2 linked regions of the Coturnix japonica genome follow. The protein of the gene in region 2 binds, or shares a complex with, the protein of the main gene of each other region. Links are inferred from orthologs where the notes say so. Each region holds a gene or a part of one and is shown on either strand. Other genes may lie near its edges.

What was found.
Region 1: the proteins of POGLUT1 (region 2) and NOTCH1 are in contact, whole or in part, in a crystal structure (PDB 5UB5), measured with the Homo sapiens proteins. The link is inferred for Coturnix japonica from reciprocal best matches to the Homo sapiens genes POGLUT1 and NOTCH1. Residues at the interface, in NP_689518.1 of Homo sapiens: Met103, Phe104, Pro105, Ser106, Arg107, Asp133, Gly170, Pro171, Ala172, Val173, Trp174, Pro178, Thr179, Gly180, Thr214, Asn239, Gln240, Ala241, Val274; in NP_060087.3 of Homo sapiens: Asn454, Glu455, Cys456, Val457, Asn459, Pro460, Cys461, Gln462, Asn463, Asp464, Ala465, Cys467, Gly472, Glu473, Phe474, Val485, His486.

Annotation. Positions count from the first base shown.
Region 1 is NC_029532.1:6,301,446-6,309,365, reverse strand, and holds the start of NOTCH1 (neurogenic locus notch homolog protein 1), read right to left. Parts: upstream 4,583-7,920; 5' UTR 4,376-4,582; coding exon 4,318-4,375; intron 2,939-4,317; coding exon 2,857-2,938; intron 1-2,856. UniProt on the Homo sapiens protein: Functions as a receptor for membrane-bound ligands Jagged-1 (JAG1), Jagged-2 (JAG2) and Delta-1 (DLL1) to regulate cell-fate determination.
Region 2 is NC_029516.1:82,806,635-82,814,553, reverse strand, and holds the start of POGLUT1 (protein O-glucosyltransferase 1), read left to right. Parts: upstream 1-3,403; 5' UTR 3,404-3,530; coding exon 3,531-3,609; intron 3,610-3,741; exon of another isoform or gene 3,742-4,184; coding exon 4,185-4,275; intron 4,276-6,110; coding exon 6,111-6,254; intron 6,255-6,691; coding exon 6,692-6,827; intron 6,828-7,919. UniProt on the Homo sapiens protein: Dual specificity glycosyltransferase that catalyzes the transfer of glucose and xylose from UDP-glucose and UDP-xylose, respectively, to a serine residue found in the consensus sequence of C-X-S-X-P-C.

The sequences.
Region 1 (7,920 bases), on a different chromosome or scaffold from region 2:
GACTGAGCAGTCAGTGACTCGGAGGGCACAGCGTGCTGCGGGGTTTGCATCACTCCTCAGCCTTCCTGCGTGGTTGCAGTGAGGGTTCAGAGCTCAGTAAGTCATCTCTTGCTGCTGTGGTCCTCTCTGAGTGCTTCTCTTGCTGCACTCAGTGTGCCCAGCACAATCTCTGCCAGCAGAAGCAGCTCTCTGGCAAACCCATTTTTCTCCTTTTCCAGTGCAAGCAACTTACTTACTCTTACTCTCTTACTTACTCTTACTCTCTTACTCTTTTCCTCCGCAGTTTTGCTCCTCTGAACAGCAGTGCTGACCCAGACCCTCTGCTGACTTGAACAGGGCAATGCTTGCAGGATAAAGCAAGTGGGAAGTGATGCTGCAGGGGCAGGGCTGGAAAGGCAGCCCCCTCCCATGCCAACTGCTTCTACCTGCTGCAGCAAGGGAGGCCCTGGGAACGACACTCATGTGGCACAGCAGCCTAAAATCAGCCCCATTCATTGTGGGGATGCCGGGCAGAGACAGTGATCCAGCAGTGTAATTAGTAGTTACCGCTATAAATGTGGATGATTTCGTTTTGGAATCCCTTCTCATTTTGTCTGGGAAAACGTCTCAGTCAGAGGAGAGTGCAACCGTGCCAAGCAGCACCACAAAACCACGCTGGGAGCACTGTGGCTGCCAAGCCCATCCCCAAGGCCAGACCCCTGGAGGCTGTGGGTCTGTGCCAATGCTATGTGTGGGGTGAGGCACCCCAAAACTGCACCACTGCTCTGCCAAGGGGGGGAAGGCAGCTCTAAGGGGCTCAGGCACAGCCCTGCAGTGCTCAAATCAGTGGGAGCCCCACATCCCAGCCAGGACAAGCAAGATAAGGCACTGGGAGCTGCACACCCCACACCACTGGGAAATAATAAAGGCTTAGAGTGCTCCTCACTGCACACTGGTGGTTTCCTTTCCATAACAGGGCTGATAATGGGGGTGTGCAGTTATCAGAGCCGGCTCTGCCCCGCGCAGCCACTCGAGCAGCGTCCCGCTCGGCCGCGATTCATTTCACTCTGCTTTCTAATTGGATTTGTGGGGACGGCACAATGGGGCTTTATGGATGGAGTCAGTGAAGTGCCAGGCCGAGCAGAGAGGTGGCCAGCAGCCAGCACAGGGCATTGCATGCCGGCGCCAGGGGCAGTGCCAGCCTTCCTGCAGTGCTATCTGCGCCGCTGGCTTCGCTTTGTTTGAGGAGCTTGGAAGCGGAGCTCCTGGTGAAGAGATACTCAAACAAGTGGAAAAGAGCACTTTGCAGGCTGCTGCTGGGCACCTGGGAAAGCTGCACCTTGCCCAGCGTCCTTAATATCCCCCCCATCCAACCCCTCAGCTTACTGCAAAATGAGCTCACATAGACTTGCAAAGCTGGTGCCCGCAGCCAGGCTGTTCATAGTTCCCAGTGATAGAATTCCCCAAAGTTAACTTTATCTCCTGTAAACCCAGCAACCCGAGCTACTCTGGAGGCTTCACCCCCAAAACGGAGCTCGCACGCATCAGACCTAATTAGATTCCATCACCATCTGCACATGAAATGTAAATCAGGAGTTGCAGAGACTTAAGGGGGGGGGGGGAAGAAAAAAAAAGAAGGAAAGAATGACCACAAGGAAAAGGAGGGGTGTAAGGTTGGGGAGGGGGCGGAGGGTTGGGCATTCTGGGAAGCCATACATGATTAGTCACACAGCATTAATCTGCCTCCCTTAACAATAGCTGCCGAATTTCGACCGAATCCCAGCTGTCGTTCTTTGAATGAAAGAAAACAAGATTTAGAGCGTCACGCGTTGGTAAGGGCTTCTGTGCAGAAAAAAAAGTGGCGTGCATTCATTAGTGGCTCACAAAGGGACCCAGCCTTTGTCCATTAAATTGCTCATGTGCCTGATTGATTTGCTGATTTATTTTCACCAAAGGCTTTGGGGGGCTCCGTTTGGAGGAGGGGGGTGGGGGCTGCCCAGGCGCTGCGGGCAGAGTAACGGTACCCAGAGGCACAGAAAAGCAGCAGGCATTGTCAAGGAGAAGTGCCATTCAACAGGTCGGGGTTGGAAATGCCTTTGGGTTCCTCCGCCGAGAACTTCCTATTGGGAAACTTGGGGTGGGTGGGAACGTCTCCCAGCCCGCTCTCAGCTCAACCCGTGTTTAACAGGCAAAGGGGAAATCTGGCCGGAAAGCAGAGCCTTGCCCATTCAGATTTCTTTTATGGAATAGTTTTAAAAAGGGAACTGCACTCTTATTCATTTCTCTGGGTTATTGTTCCCTGGGAGCCCAGACTGAATCGGCCATCGCTGCGGTGGGTCGGGTGGTCCTTCAAAGGGACCCAAGGCTTTACACATCCGCTTCCCCACCATCAGCCTTGAGAACACCCCATGCCAGGAGTGGGCACGGATGGCAGCGTGGCACTGCCCCACAGACAGACACCCACACAACACAGCCACCCTTGGATGCTTATGGGAGATGCCCTGGATACTGCAGCACCAGCTGCCAGGGAATGAAGGACAACGCAATGGGGCCAGGAAGGGGGGGGGGGGTTGGAAGATAGACAGACAGCCCTCCCACCCCCCGTTGTCCCTCCCTCCTGCTCCATCAGTGGGGCACTCTGATGGGTTAACACCAGCCAAACGTGGCCCTCTGCCCATGTTTTTCCACCCAGCCAGGAACAAAGCCTGATCCTGCCAAACCCGCGGCGACTCCTACACCGGAGCAGGTTATTCTTGCCACTCAAGGAAAGAAAACGCATTTCGCCCTATTAAATCCAAAGCCTTCAAAGCAAAGTCAACAGGCACGTCAATGCTTCGGCTGAGGGAGATGGAAATCCTTCTGCTCCTCCATACTTACTGGCACACCTCCGTCCCATTGAGGAAAGTTTCACACTTGCCCCCGTTGAGGCAGGATTCAGCCAGTTGTGTACACCGCACACCTGTGAATAGAAGGAGAGCATCAGGCACAGCACAGAGCCCGGGGGTCTGCACCCCACTGCAGGGATGGCCTCACAGGGACCACGTTAATGGGCAGGACTACACTGCCCCAAGAGGAAAGGGGCGACCTAAAGTTAACCTGGGGTGGTCCTGGGGGTGGGCTCTGCCTGTTAAAGCAGGAGGGTGGATGGGGAGAAGCTCCGGGTCGGGTATTTGAGTGACAAATAGCACTTGGGAAAAACCATCTGCCTGCAGGGCCCGTGGGTCGCCACGAGCTCAGTCCCGAAATGAGTCGCTCGGCACAACTTGCTATGAGTAAAGGTTTCATTGTCTGGCCCTCGGAGCCGGATTCTGCTCAGTTACTACAGCAACTCGCTGAAAAGTACTAGAATCGCTTCCGATTTCCACCCCGCTTCACTCTTCCCCTTCTTCTGCCGCTCTCGGTGCAGTCAAAGCAGTTTCACACTGAGTGAACGCAGCGTCGCAACCCAAACCCCACCTCCCCCCGACGGCAGCGGAGCGTCCCCATCAGCCCCGGCGGACGGGCCGCGTTCTGCCCCTACAAACAGCGTCCCGAGAGGCTCCAGCTCTACTCGGTCCGTCGGGGCGGCTCCACTGCCCACCTCCCCCCTCCGGCCCCGACGGCAGCTCCGCACGTTGCGGCCCCGCACACGGATCCGCCCCGGGGCCGATGCCGGGGAGGAGGTGGAGGGAGGGAAGGGGGGGGGGGGGGGGGGAGGGGGGGGGGGGAGTTAAGGAAGGGGGGCCGAGGGGCACCCGGTTGACTTTCAAGAAACAGGAAACCGAGAAAAAATTTGCAAAACGGTCAAAAAACTCTCGCGGAACAACAACACGAGAGCGGCCAATGCGTGAGACTCCGTGGAGCCGAACCCCGTCCCGAGCTCCGGGACACACACAGCACTCGGGGCCGAGCACAGGGACACCCCCGCAGTGCTCAGTACCGAGCTCCGAGACCCCTCACAACCCTCAGAACCGAACACCGCGACCCCCACCGCCCTTAACACCGAGTTCTGGGCACCCCCGACGGCCGGTACCGCGACCCCGAGCGGTACCGGTAGCTCTGCCCGCCCGCAGCCCCGACGGCTCCGCTCCCCGCGGAATCCCCGCTGCACCGATCCCGGTTCCCCCCCGTCGGTTCCGGCCGCCCGGGCCCCGCGGTGCCGAACTCCAAAGTTCCGTCCCCGTTTCTCAGCCCGCTCCGCTCCCCCCGCTGCACTCCCGAGTTCCGGACCCTCCCGGCGGCTCCACGCTCCGCTTCCCTCGGACCCCCCGCCGCCTCCGATGGAAGCACCGCCTCGCCCCGCCGCTCCGAGCCGAGCTGCCGGCAAACTTCGTGCCGGAGCCGGGCCGGGGCCCTCACCTCGCGTCGGAGCGGGCAGCAGGGCCAGCAGGAGCCCGGTGGCCAAGAGCCGTTTCATCCCTCTGTGTTCCCACCGCTCACAGCCGCATAGATCCGGAGGCCGCCGGCCGAACCGGCTCGAACCGAGCGGAACCGAACGGAACCGGAGCCGTGCGGCGCGAGCCGGGAGCCCCGAACACACCGCGCCCCAAACGCCGAGAGAAACGACTCCGAGCGCCGGCGCCTCCCGCGGCCGCTCAGCCCCCGCGGGCCGGGCCGGGCCGGGCGGAGGGCGGAGGGGGGGCGGGACGGAGCGGGGCGGGACGGCGAGGAGCGGAGCGGGATGGGACGGAGCGGGACGCCCCTCCCTGCACGGCGTGGGGGGCAGCGCTGGGAGCCCACCCTGAGCCCACCCTCCCCACGGCCACAAAGCAGCTCCGGACGCTGCAGTGCGGTCGTCCCCGCGGCTCCGGTGCGGTCCCGGATAGTTCTGTATACACATCCATGGCTCCTTGCAGCTCCGAGCGCTGCTTTGCAGCCCCTGGGTAGTCCCGGTGCAGCTCTGACACACTTATGGAGCCCCTCCGTGTACCCCTCACAATCAGCCCTGGACCCGCTATACAGCCCCTCCGTGTAACTCCTGTATAGACCCCAAACAGCTTCGGGCTCTCCAAGCAGCCCCAGACACCCTAGTGCAGCGACCATGTAGCTCCCCCCATGCAGTCCCTGCATACCCCCGGTGCAACCCATCCCCTCAGTCCCAGTAGAGCCCCCCACCCCTGTGCAGCCCCATCCCAGGCCCTTACACAACTCCCTACAGCTCTGGTTCAGCCCCCCCTGCCCAGTGGGTCGCAGCTGCTGCTCAGGACCCCAACTGGGGTGAGATTCCCCCCAACACAGTGCACCACACCACTGACCCAGTGCAGGGGTGCTGCTGTGTTGCCCTGTGAGCTCCTGCACTCAGGGCAGAGCCCAGCCCATGTGCTGCAGCAGCAAACAAACAAACAAATGCACGAGGGGAGACGAGCAGCCAACCCTGCCATGCAGCCCTATGAGCTCCGGTCTGTGTGCAGGTCCCATTGCCCCCACCTCCAGCATCCAACACTGCCCTGGATCCTTCAGGATGGGAGTATGGGCACGTCCCACCCAAAACCCAATTGCGTTCTGGGCCTGGGGGCAGCCCCCTGTGCTGCCAGCACTGCTCCCCCCCACGGGGTCACCCCATGCAGTGTGCATGATTCCCATCGCATCTCAGCAGTGGCAGCAAATTGGAACCAGGCTTTGACTTGAGCAACCAGAATCGAGGCTTGAAACTCCTGTTTGTGTGTGGGGATGTGTGGGACGCCAAGTACTAGAAGAAGAAGAAGCAGAGGGGTCGGTGCTGGGCTGATGGTGAGGTGCTGTCCCACCTGTGCCCCCCCTCTCTCCTCCCCTATTGAAGGGCACCCCCACGCCAGCACTGTGTTCATCCCAGCCCATGCCATGGTGTTATCCCACTGCTTCCTGCTGTAAATTATTTCCAGAGCAAGTGTGAAACGATTAAACAAACCGAAGGGCAGAGTCTGCTCATTAGATCAAAGCCACAAGCCCTGCAGCGTTCCCTCGTTCTGCTCCTTCCCCTTCTTCCCACATGAGAACAGGCCGGGCTCTGGGGTGCCCACTGGGGGCTGTGGGGGGGTGTGTGGGGCCATGGGGGCTGGGTGATGATGCTGGGAGCTGTGTAGGACTTCAGAGCGTCCCAGGGCCACGCATTTTGCTTTGCTGCACTGCTGCAGGACGGGGGCAGGGTAAGCAGATGCCAAACAGTGCAGGAATTTGCTGTAGTGCCCACCTGCACAGACCTTTTGCACCTTTGGGAAGTGGGTGCCCCCATCTCACCCCCTGCAGTGGCTGTGCAGTGGGATGCAGCCCTTACCCCTGCTCTAGCCAAGCGATATCTCTGTGCCAACAGACTGTGCCAATTCCATTGGTGATGTGAAGTGGCCCCTGGAGGTTCCACCACCCTTTGGTGATGGGGATCTGTGCCCTGCTCCCCCATCTCACCCCTTTCTCCCTCCTGCTGCACTAACCTTGCTTTGCCCGGGCTTGTTCTCCTCACACAGAACCTCTCACTGTGCTGTGCTTCATTCCTTACATATACAGAAATGCCCACGGGCAGGTGGCCACTGTGGTCCCCACTGTGCCATGTGCCAAACTGGGAACAGTGGGGAGGTGGCACTGGCCTCTGTGCATGGATGGAGTGGCAGCACCGGGTGCCTTGGGGTGATGGCACAGGACAGGACCCAACCCAGGCCATCATCCCAAGCTGCCCAGTGCAGACCCAGAGCATTCAGACCCAGTCTGAATACATGCAGTTTTGTGGCCCTGGTGCCTTTCTGTGCCAGCTCCAGCTGCACCCTGAGCCATCTCTGTGCTGCCCCATTGCCAACCCACCGCTCCTGCAGGGACTCCTGCAGCAGAGAGGAAAGAAGGATGAAGGAAGGAGGCAGAACCCCACACACCTATTTTTGCACTGGGAGGTGGATGTGACATCAACCCAGAGCAAGTCTCAGTTGGAGCAGTTTTAGGGGTTAAATGCAACAGGGGGGTTTCAGTGCCTTTTAAAACCAACGTTCATAAAAGCCTTTAATAGAAACCTTGGCTCTCATCCATGTGATTAGTGATGTAAAAAAAAAATAACCCGAAACCTCCGCACATGTTTCAAAGTTTTAATAAGTCCAAATTAAACGAGCGAAACTCTGGGAAGATTCTTTTCTTCTTCTTTTTTTTTATGTTACTGCAAGCTAAGAAAATTACATCCACAGAGCAAAAACGGCGTGCAAACACCAACAGGTAACGCACATCTGTACATCATTTTCATGTCTCCAGGGGCTGGAAAAAACAAACCCCGAGCGAGAGCAGCCTTTCTTATATATATATATATATATATTTTGCCTTGACAGCTCAGGGAGAGAAAAAAAAACTATTGCCAAAAAGCAGAGTTAGAGAAGCTGGGCTGGCGTGGGAAAGTTGGTTTAGTGAGAAATGTGCCCGGGGCTATTTAAATAAAAACAGGCGTTTTTTTTAATGGCAAATGCCTGTTAAACACAACCAACACGCTGCCGACTGCCCCGTAAGAGGTGTGAGGGATCCTCCGTGGTGCTTGGATCTCTTTATTGTCACTGTGGATGTATTTGCTTCTGTGCTCAATGTAGAGCACATGGAGGGGGGGTGGCAGAAGGGGCCCTGCACTGTGCAGGGGTTGGGGAGCTCTGCTGTCCTTGGGGACAAGGAGAGCAATGTTAGGAATGAGGTGTGAATGGAAGTGGGTACATCGACCCTCAGTGCTGGAAGAGAAAGATGCCGGTTGTAGGGATGGTGATGTGTAAAACCCAAGCTGCCCCACAGTGGGATTATGCTGAAGTTCCCTGGGGATCTGGAGAAAGGAGGGTTTGCAAGAATGGGATAAAGCCCGATCTGGTTGGTTTTGTGTTGCTTTTTTTCCCCCTCAAAAAGCTGTGTGAAGGAGCTGGAACGGGCAGTGCTGCAGCTGCACCAGCATAGTGTCCTCAGGGGCCCAGTGGTGGCATGGGGCACATGCAGGGGGACCACCAGGACCACTGCCATTGCAGTGCTGCTCCATTG
Region 2 (7,919 bases):
GCAAACTGCTAGGAAAAAAAAAAGTCTGCATTTCATTTGAGAACTAACAGGGCTGAGATTTTGTTTTGTTTTCCTCAATTGACATGTACATAATCTAGCTTGGGACTTTGTTCCACAGCATTTTTGTCAAAGGCTCTAGAGAGCGTGCCTGCAAATACTAAATCTCTCTGAGGTTCGCATTCAATTTGCAAGTTATACAACTCCGGCTAAAGAAAGAGGCATTCTGTTTGCAGCAAGGTGTTTTCCAGATCCCCACTGGCAATGGCAAAAAGTGATTTACGATCAGCTTTAGTTAACGTGGCCTCTCAAACAGGTCTTAAAAAGCCTTCGCAGCCATGGCCTAGTGCCAAAGCCTTTTCCACAAGAATACATCAATTTTAGTTCATACCGGTGCCATACGATGCAACGGCAAAGGCAAATGGTGCAATATTGAATGCATCCCCTCGATGAAGCAAGAGATCCAGCACCTGCTGAATCTACCAGATTTACCATTATGGGTCTGTACATCTTCTTGTTGGCTGTTCACGCAAGGATGACTTAATCCCTTGGCTAGCTGAGGGCTGAGTTAATGATTCCCTTTTCTGGCAGATTCTGTGTGTCATCAGGACTGAACTCTGGGTTCTCCTGCACTTGTTTTGCCCAACCCAATTCAGTAGTTCCAAGTGCCCTATAGAACTGCAAGAGCATTTTTCAGTCTTAGGTTGAAGACTCCAGCCTTTACTGGCTCTCACTCTGGCATGCTTCTCACGCTGTGCTCCAACTGCTGTAATTAGCCTCCTTTGCATAAAGCAACAGAATATTCAATAGCAAACATCCCCAAGCCAGGTACTGCAGATGCAACCAAATTTCCTGAACCATACCAATGAGAGTCCAACATCTCCACGAGGTGTAGTGTTAGAGGACACAGCTTAGAGCCAGAGCAAAAATAAGCTTCATGAGTAGCTTCCTAAAAGCCATGTCCCTTACTAAGGGAAAGCTTGGGCCCAGCCCCGCAAGCATCAACATCAACCACAAGTGTTGAACCTCAGCCACCTGTAGAGGTGGCTTCCTTCCTCCCTTCCAGTCCATTACTCAATGAATTCACAAAACCCAGTACTTTCATTTAGCATAAAAGGATGAACTAAGGGAGAAAGTCCCCTACCAGAACCCTTACACAAGCAAAAAGTAGCAAGAAGAGCCAGATTATAGCTCTGAGAGAAATTCAAGATCTAGAAAACATTTTCTTTAGATCAACCTTATAACCAGCTTAGAGAACTATTCCTTTCCCAAGCAGCCTTCTTTTAACCTATGCTGAATATGTAAAGCAAGGACACCAGAATTACAGCCAAGTGGTTTTCCACTCCAGGCACATGGAACATGATGAAAGTAAATTTGTGGGTGTTTGCACTTGATTTGGCAGAGAAAAACTGAGGGAGGGAATGTGATTGAGGGAAGGTATCAAAGATCAGAGCCAGATGCTCCTTCTCAGAGCTCTGGACTTGTAGGAAATTAAGAAGGTAGAGAAGGTGAGGCAAAGGGTGTGTTTGAAGTGAGAGTCGAGGGGTTCTAAGGTCTACAACCATCCAAGGTGCTTGGGGGAAACTACAGCACATGCCAAAACCACACCATATTGGCCTGAGGTGCTTTCATTACACAAAGCCTGGGAGAGCAGAGACCGTAAATGTAGCTTCAAAAGGAGCTTCATCTTGAAGTCTTAGCTCTCAGGGCCTATTAAACATTTATGTTGACTACCACTCCTACTCTTTGCCTCAGAGAAAGCACCCGAAATAACCTTTGCTACAGAGCAAACTACAACAGTTCTACCAGCTGTGGAACAGACTAGTGGGGAGCTGTGAGAAACAGCCAGAAACAGTGTTGGAACAACAATGCTAATGACTCTATTCAGCAAGCTAGGACAGAAGGAAGAAAATACGACAGGTTTTCTTTAAGCTATCTTCTGTTCACACTTTTTGGGGAATCTTCAGACTAGCCTCTAGTATGGATGTTTGATAACCACAGCTCTAGAAGGGTCAGTGGAAGAAAATGGAAGGAGATTCTGCACAAAAAGACAGAAAGTTTCTGGCATAATCTGGAAAGAAGTAATTACTTCCCTGATTTGCTCAAAAATTCTTTGCCTGGACAACATGAGTTTGGGATGAGGCACAGCTACTCATTCTTTTCATTCTATGAAGCTGTTACTACCAGTAACAGAAACCGCGTAATTCACTCACTCCTCTGTAGTTCAGTCAGAGGACAACTCCAGCTGTACATTCAGAAGGCTGTGCTGACCCTAGCAGCTTCAAAGTCGGTGTTCAAAAAGCCCTTCAAGGTAATTTATTTCAAGGGTTGCACATATACACCTCTAGTCTTTGTACGTGGGAACCCCTGCCCTCCAGTCACAAAATCTACTCCTGATATTAGCATCTACTTCTGGCCTTCCACAGATTCAGCCTACGCATAGCACCCAAGTTTATCAGCTCGATTACATTCAGAAGAACTACTATCCTCCACAATTTTCAACCCTTAGGAAACCCTCACACTCTTCCTCAGCATGTGCTTTTCACCATTGGCCTGCTGTTAAGTAACTATTTCTTTAGTATAACCTACAGGTACCTACAGCCCTTACAGTCTCATGCAGATGAGGCCTTTGTAAGTTTAGGTGTTGGCTCCTGTGGCTAATCACTCAGCCTTTATGCTATAGATACCAGTTTAATTTAAATGTAAGTATACAATTGCTTGAGATGGAACAAACCTTAAAGGCCACACAGTCCAACTTCCCCTGCAATGAACAGGGGCACCGCAGCTCCATCAGGTGCTCTGAGCCCTGTCCAGCCTGACTTTGGGTGTCTCCAGAGATGGGGCACCCACCACCTCTCTGGGCAACCTGTTACAGTGCCTCACTGTTGTTACTGTAATAAACATCTTCCTGGTATCCAGTCTAAATCTTTTTGTTTGAAACCATTTCCCCTTGTCCTAACAGCAAAAGCCCTATTAAATAGCCTGTCCCCTTCCTTCTTACAGTCTACCTTTAGACGTTGAAAGGCTGCTCTCAGGTCTCCCCGCAGCCTTCTCTTCTTGAGGCTGAACAGCCCCAGGTCTCAGCCTGCCCTCATAGGGGAGGGGCTCCATCCCTGGGACCCTCTTTGTGGCTCTGCCCTGGATTCGCTCCAGTAGGTCCATGACTCTCAATGTAACGGCTCCTCCCCACGGCAGTGAGGCCACAGCACCTCTCCCTGGGATCCAAGAGCAGCAAAAGCAGATCTGGACTAGGAAAGACAGCTTAAGACCACATATATACACAGATCCCATGAAGAGCAGGCGGGCTGTTCCACACTCTACCTTAAGAAGATCAAATTCATACAGGAATCAAATTCATACAGGACAGCGTTTGCTTACACCCAACCTTTCTAGAGGTGCAGCGGCGGGAACTACAGCTCCCATCCATCCGCTCAGCAGCACGCACCCCTCCCCTCCCGCCGCCATCTTTGCGGGGCCGCCATCTTTGCTCAGGGAGTCACCGCCCCCCGGCGGCCAGGCGCGCAGGCAGCAGCATGGAGCGGGCGGCGCTGTGGGGGCTGCTGGCCGCCGTTGCTGTGTGGCCTTCGGGAGCGGCGGATGGTGGGTCAGAAGGTGAGTGAAAGAGACGGGCCGTGGGGAACACCACGGGGAAGAGAGCGGCTCTCCCTAGTTGCCTTTTATAGGGCGGCCCAGCACATGTAGGAAGGAGGGGCTGCCAGGCCCAGCCCTCCCCTCAGTCCTCACCTGGGTGTCCCGGCGGTGCTTTCATCACTTAACTGTAGCAATAGAGTCATTTCAGAGATAAAGTCCATGCAGTTCCTTGTAGTTACATAGCGGGATGCAACTAGTGCAGTGCAACAGTTGTGGTTCTCTAATGTGCGCTCAGGGAGCCCGGTTTGGTTTAACAGCCTGCAGGCAGCAAGGCTGTGCTAAAGGAACCGATGTCACTGCTCAGTAGGCAGCGTCAGTGGAGCAGTTATGGGTTGAAGGGTCAGGGTTCTGTCAGCAGGGGAATGGTCAGTGTCAGCCGTGCTCTAGTTCAGCTGTGTGGGCTGAAGTGTGTCCCAGGATCGTGGTGCGTCGCTATTGCCCTGCTGCCAGCTGGAGAAGTGCTGCTCAGCTTCTGCTGATTGCTCTGGTTGTTTAATGAATTAATGCCTTTCACTTTTCCTTTCTGTGTATTTTAGATGCCAAATGGAAAGCAATAACAGATCAAATTAACAGAGCTGTAGAAGTCTATAAGCCATGCGTAAAGGAGAATTGTAGCTGCTACCAAAGGTAAGAGATTAGTTTCCTTTTTACTGAACAGGGCTATGGTCATGATCACAGCACTGATAGATGGGAGTTAGCTGTAGAATATGTGTGCTCTAATGTAGCACATCTGCAGCCAACATAGGTTGCAGTGCTTACAAGGAGTTTATTAATGGCATTGTGTGAAACTTTCATAGTTCCAGCATGAGTTGTGTCCACCTGCAGATTGACCACCGTGCTTGTTGTCCTCTGTGACTGAACAACATAAACTGAGTCAGCATCTCATACGTAATCACACAATAATTCCATACACAGCTGGTGATATTTCTGTATTAGAAATCCACTCTGCATTCACCCTCTGTACAATATTTGTTGCTAACAGGTTTATCTGATGGACTTTTAAAACTGAGGGAAATAAATATATGTAAATATTTAAAAGAGGATTAAGAAGGATAATTACAGAACATGGATTTATTTGGCATGATGCTATGTGGTACTTGCTAACTTGTGGAACACTTGTATACCATAGTGACAGACATTACTAAAGAGTCCAGAAAGATAATACAGTACCTACACTGTATGACACTAAGAAACTCAGCTCATTTTGATAGCTGATCTGGAGAGATGCAAATGTGCAGCAGAATAGTGAAAGCCAGTCCCTTTCCTTAGATAATGGATTTTACTTGTGTCAGATTTTCTCTGGGTGGCCAAGAACTGAAAATTCTAGCCTGTTATTGACAATAGAAAGGTAGCAAACAGCAACGTGGATGCGCTATAAAACTCTTTCTTCCCGTTCTCCAGCTTGTTACATTTGCATCCCTGCTTATATACTTTGTCAACCTATCTGTACTGTAGCAATTCTTGATGTAGTTTACATTTTTCTGTCTGATACAGAATAACAGAATCATTGACCTCGGAGGGGACCTTTTGAGATCAAGAAATCCAACCTCCCTGTTCAAGCAGGGCCACCTAAAGCAAATGGACAGGATGGTGTCCAGTCAGACCAGAGACCCCACTACTTCTCTGGGCAGTCTGTGCCAGTGTTTTATCACTCACACATTTGGTTCATCCCCTTCAGATGGGTCTGTGCATTAAACCAGGCCATTGATGCAATGTCTACTAAAAAGTAGAGGGGAACTCTCCATGGCTGTTACCGTCTGAGAACAATTGTTAACTGCTCCAAGCAGTTGGATCTGGGGGTCTTTAGACTATATATAAACTGCATTCTCTGTCTGTATTTTAACATATCGGTTAGGTTTATGTTTTCTATTTTCTATTTCTACTATATTCTAGGAGCTCACCAATGACATGCAGATATCACAGAATACAGTCTATATAGGCTTGTTCTCCTGGACTAGCTTTTACTGTATGCAGCATTACCCAGTAATCCTTGTGACTAGACTGTTACTTACTTTTTTTATAAATTTTAAAATTGACATTTAGTGAGGAATTTGGTCTTGGTGTAGCCCACCATTATTGGAAATCCAGAACACAAGCTTCAGAACTCAAAGTTTAAGTGAACTGAAAGCTTTTATCCATAACCTGTCAGGGTGTTTAATGCCTATTTGTTTTTTGGAAGAATAACTGCAGTGAACCACATTGATTTAGTTTGAGAGTCCGGTGCTGGGTTTTCTGTTCAGGCAAACAGCACATAGATCATCACAGAGCAAAGCTGGGACTTTGGAGTCTCAGAGTAGTGGCTGTTTCAGTTGACTTAAGTTGAATCCTCTGTTATGCCATGTGTAGCAGAGCTGGAAGCCACATAAAGTTTGTTGTAACTAGAAACCTTTTCTGTATGCTGCAGTACTTTAATGTGCAGCATCCCCCAATGTACCTAATGATGGCTAATTGTTTTGTTTCAGTGTCTGGAAACAGGACCTGGCTCCTTTTCGAAGTGGCATTTCCAAGGAGACAATATCAGATGTGGTAAGCCGGAAGCTTGGAACACACTACCAAATCATTAAGAACAAGCTGTACCGTGAACATGACTGCATGTTCCCTGCAAGGTAAGAGCCACACAGAAGATCCTGCTTCCATACCTGGCACATAGGAATACTTCCAGTACTTCTAACCCTGATGAATTGGAAGTCATTGAGCACAATGGTATGTCATTTTAAGGTCTGGATTCCTTATCAGGACAGGAGCCTAGGAAATTATATATGAGGATTAAACATAGGCAAGAAATAAGAATCACTGTTGCACTTCTGTATAAGAAGGCTAGTTGATTGTGGGATCCCAGAGAAATATGCAGATCAAGTCAGGTTTAACAGAATGTGTTGCTTCACTGGTGTCTGCAGTGAGACTTAAAGGCTGCTATGGGCAGTTGCAGCCTGTGCTACGGCTTTCTGTTTCTTCTGCTCCTATGCATAGAGATATCTGCAACATACTCCAGGATTCTTCCTTATCCTTATGGCTCTTTATGAGATGTGTCATTTCTCCACAGATGCAGTGGAGTTGAGCATTTCATTCATGGGATCATCAACCGCCTCCCTGATATGGAAATGGTGATAAACGTGAGAGACTACCCCCAGGTCCCCAAGTGGATGAAACCCATTATCCCAGTCTTCTCTTTCAGTAAGGTATGCACACTTTTAAAAGCATTTCTGAAACGTGCATGTCCTCCTTTCTCTTGCTGACATATGTTTGAGGATGGTTCCCCACAGCTTTCCTGTGTGTCAAAACTGTTCTTTTTTCTTCTTTCTACTTCAATTTTTCTAGTAGACAGACTTGCAGATTCATTTAATAGAACAGCTTTTCTCCTCATTAGCTCCTCTTCCAAGTCAAAAAGAGTACCTCTACCACAGTGGAATGATGCACAGCTGGATGGGATATGTGCCAATATCACTGTGATGTGCTACAATGCCTCTGTTAAAATTGCAGCCATAGCTTGTCAGCACTGTTAAGGATTTTTCATCATCAGCCAGCTCAGTCAATATGAATATTTCAGTTCTCTGTTTCGTACCACAGATAAGTGTTTCTTTTTTTTTTTCCCCGTATTAACATTGTCTAGTTGGAATAATACAAGTCTATAGATGTAATTAAAGAGTAAATAGCCAGAGGGTATCTAAGAAAAAGACTCACCAGTGCTGAGGTTTTCAGTTGAGATGGATGCTCACCAATGTTGAGGCTCACCACAAGAACTCCAGAAAGAGATGCTACCTTAGTGGTGGTCAGCCCTTAAATGGGATCTAGGAGAGGTGGAGTCAAGCTCCACCCCATCCGGGAGCACAGCTGAATTACCTTCACCTGTGCTCCCACAGCTGAGTCGTCACTTGCCTCAGATGGTTAATCAGAGGTTCAGACTGTGATCAACAGTTTCCCTTACAAACGCTGTCTACTGTGAACCCCTTTCCTGTGGATTCTTCTTTCCATTTCCAAATGTGCACACACATGGAGCCAGACACACACACACATTTGCTTTCTGGTTCCCTGTTCTCACACTGGAAAGCCCCCTTGCACATTTTCTTGCTTTTCCATTGTTAAATCTAATTGTAGGATAGTGTCTTATCATTGCCAATGAAATACCCTTACAACTCTAGCTTCATGAAATCCTGCTGTGCTTTAGTATATGCCTAGTATGCCCAAATTCTACAGTCCTGATCATGACCCTGTACTTGGCTGAAGCTCAGCAGACCATAAGATGCAAAAAGAAGCAATAAATAATTTGTTCT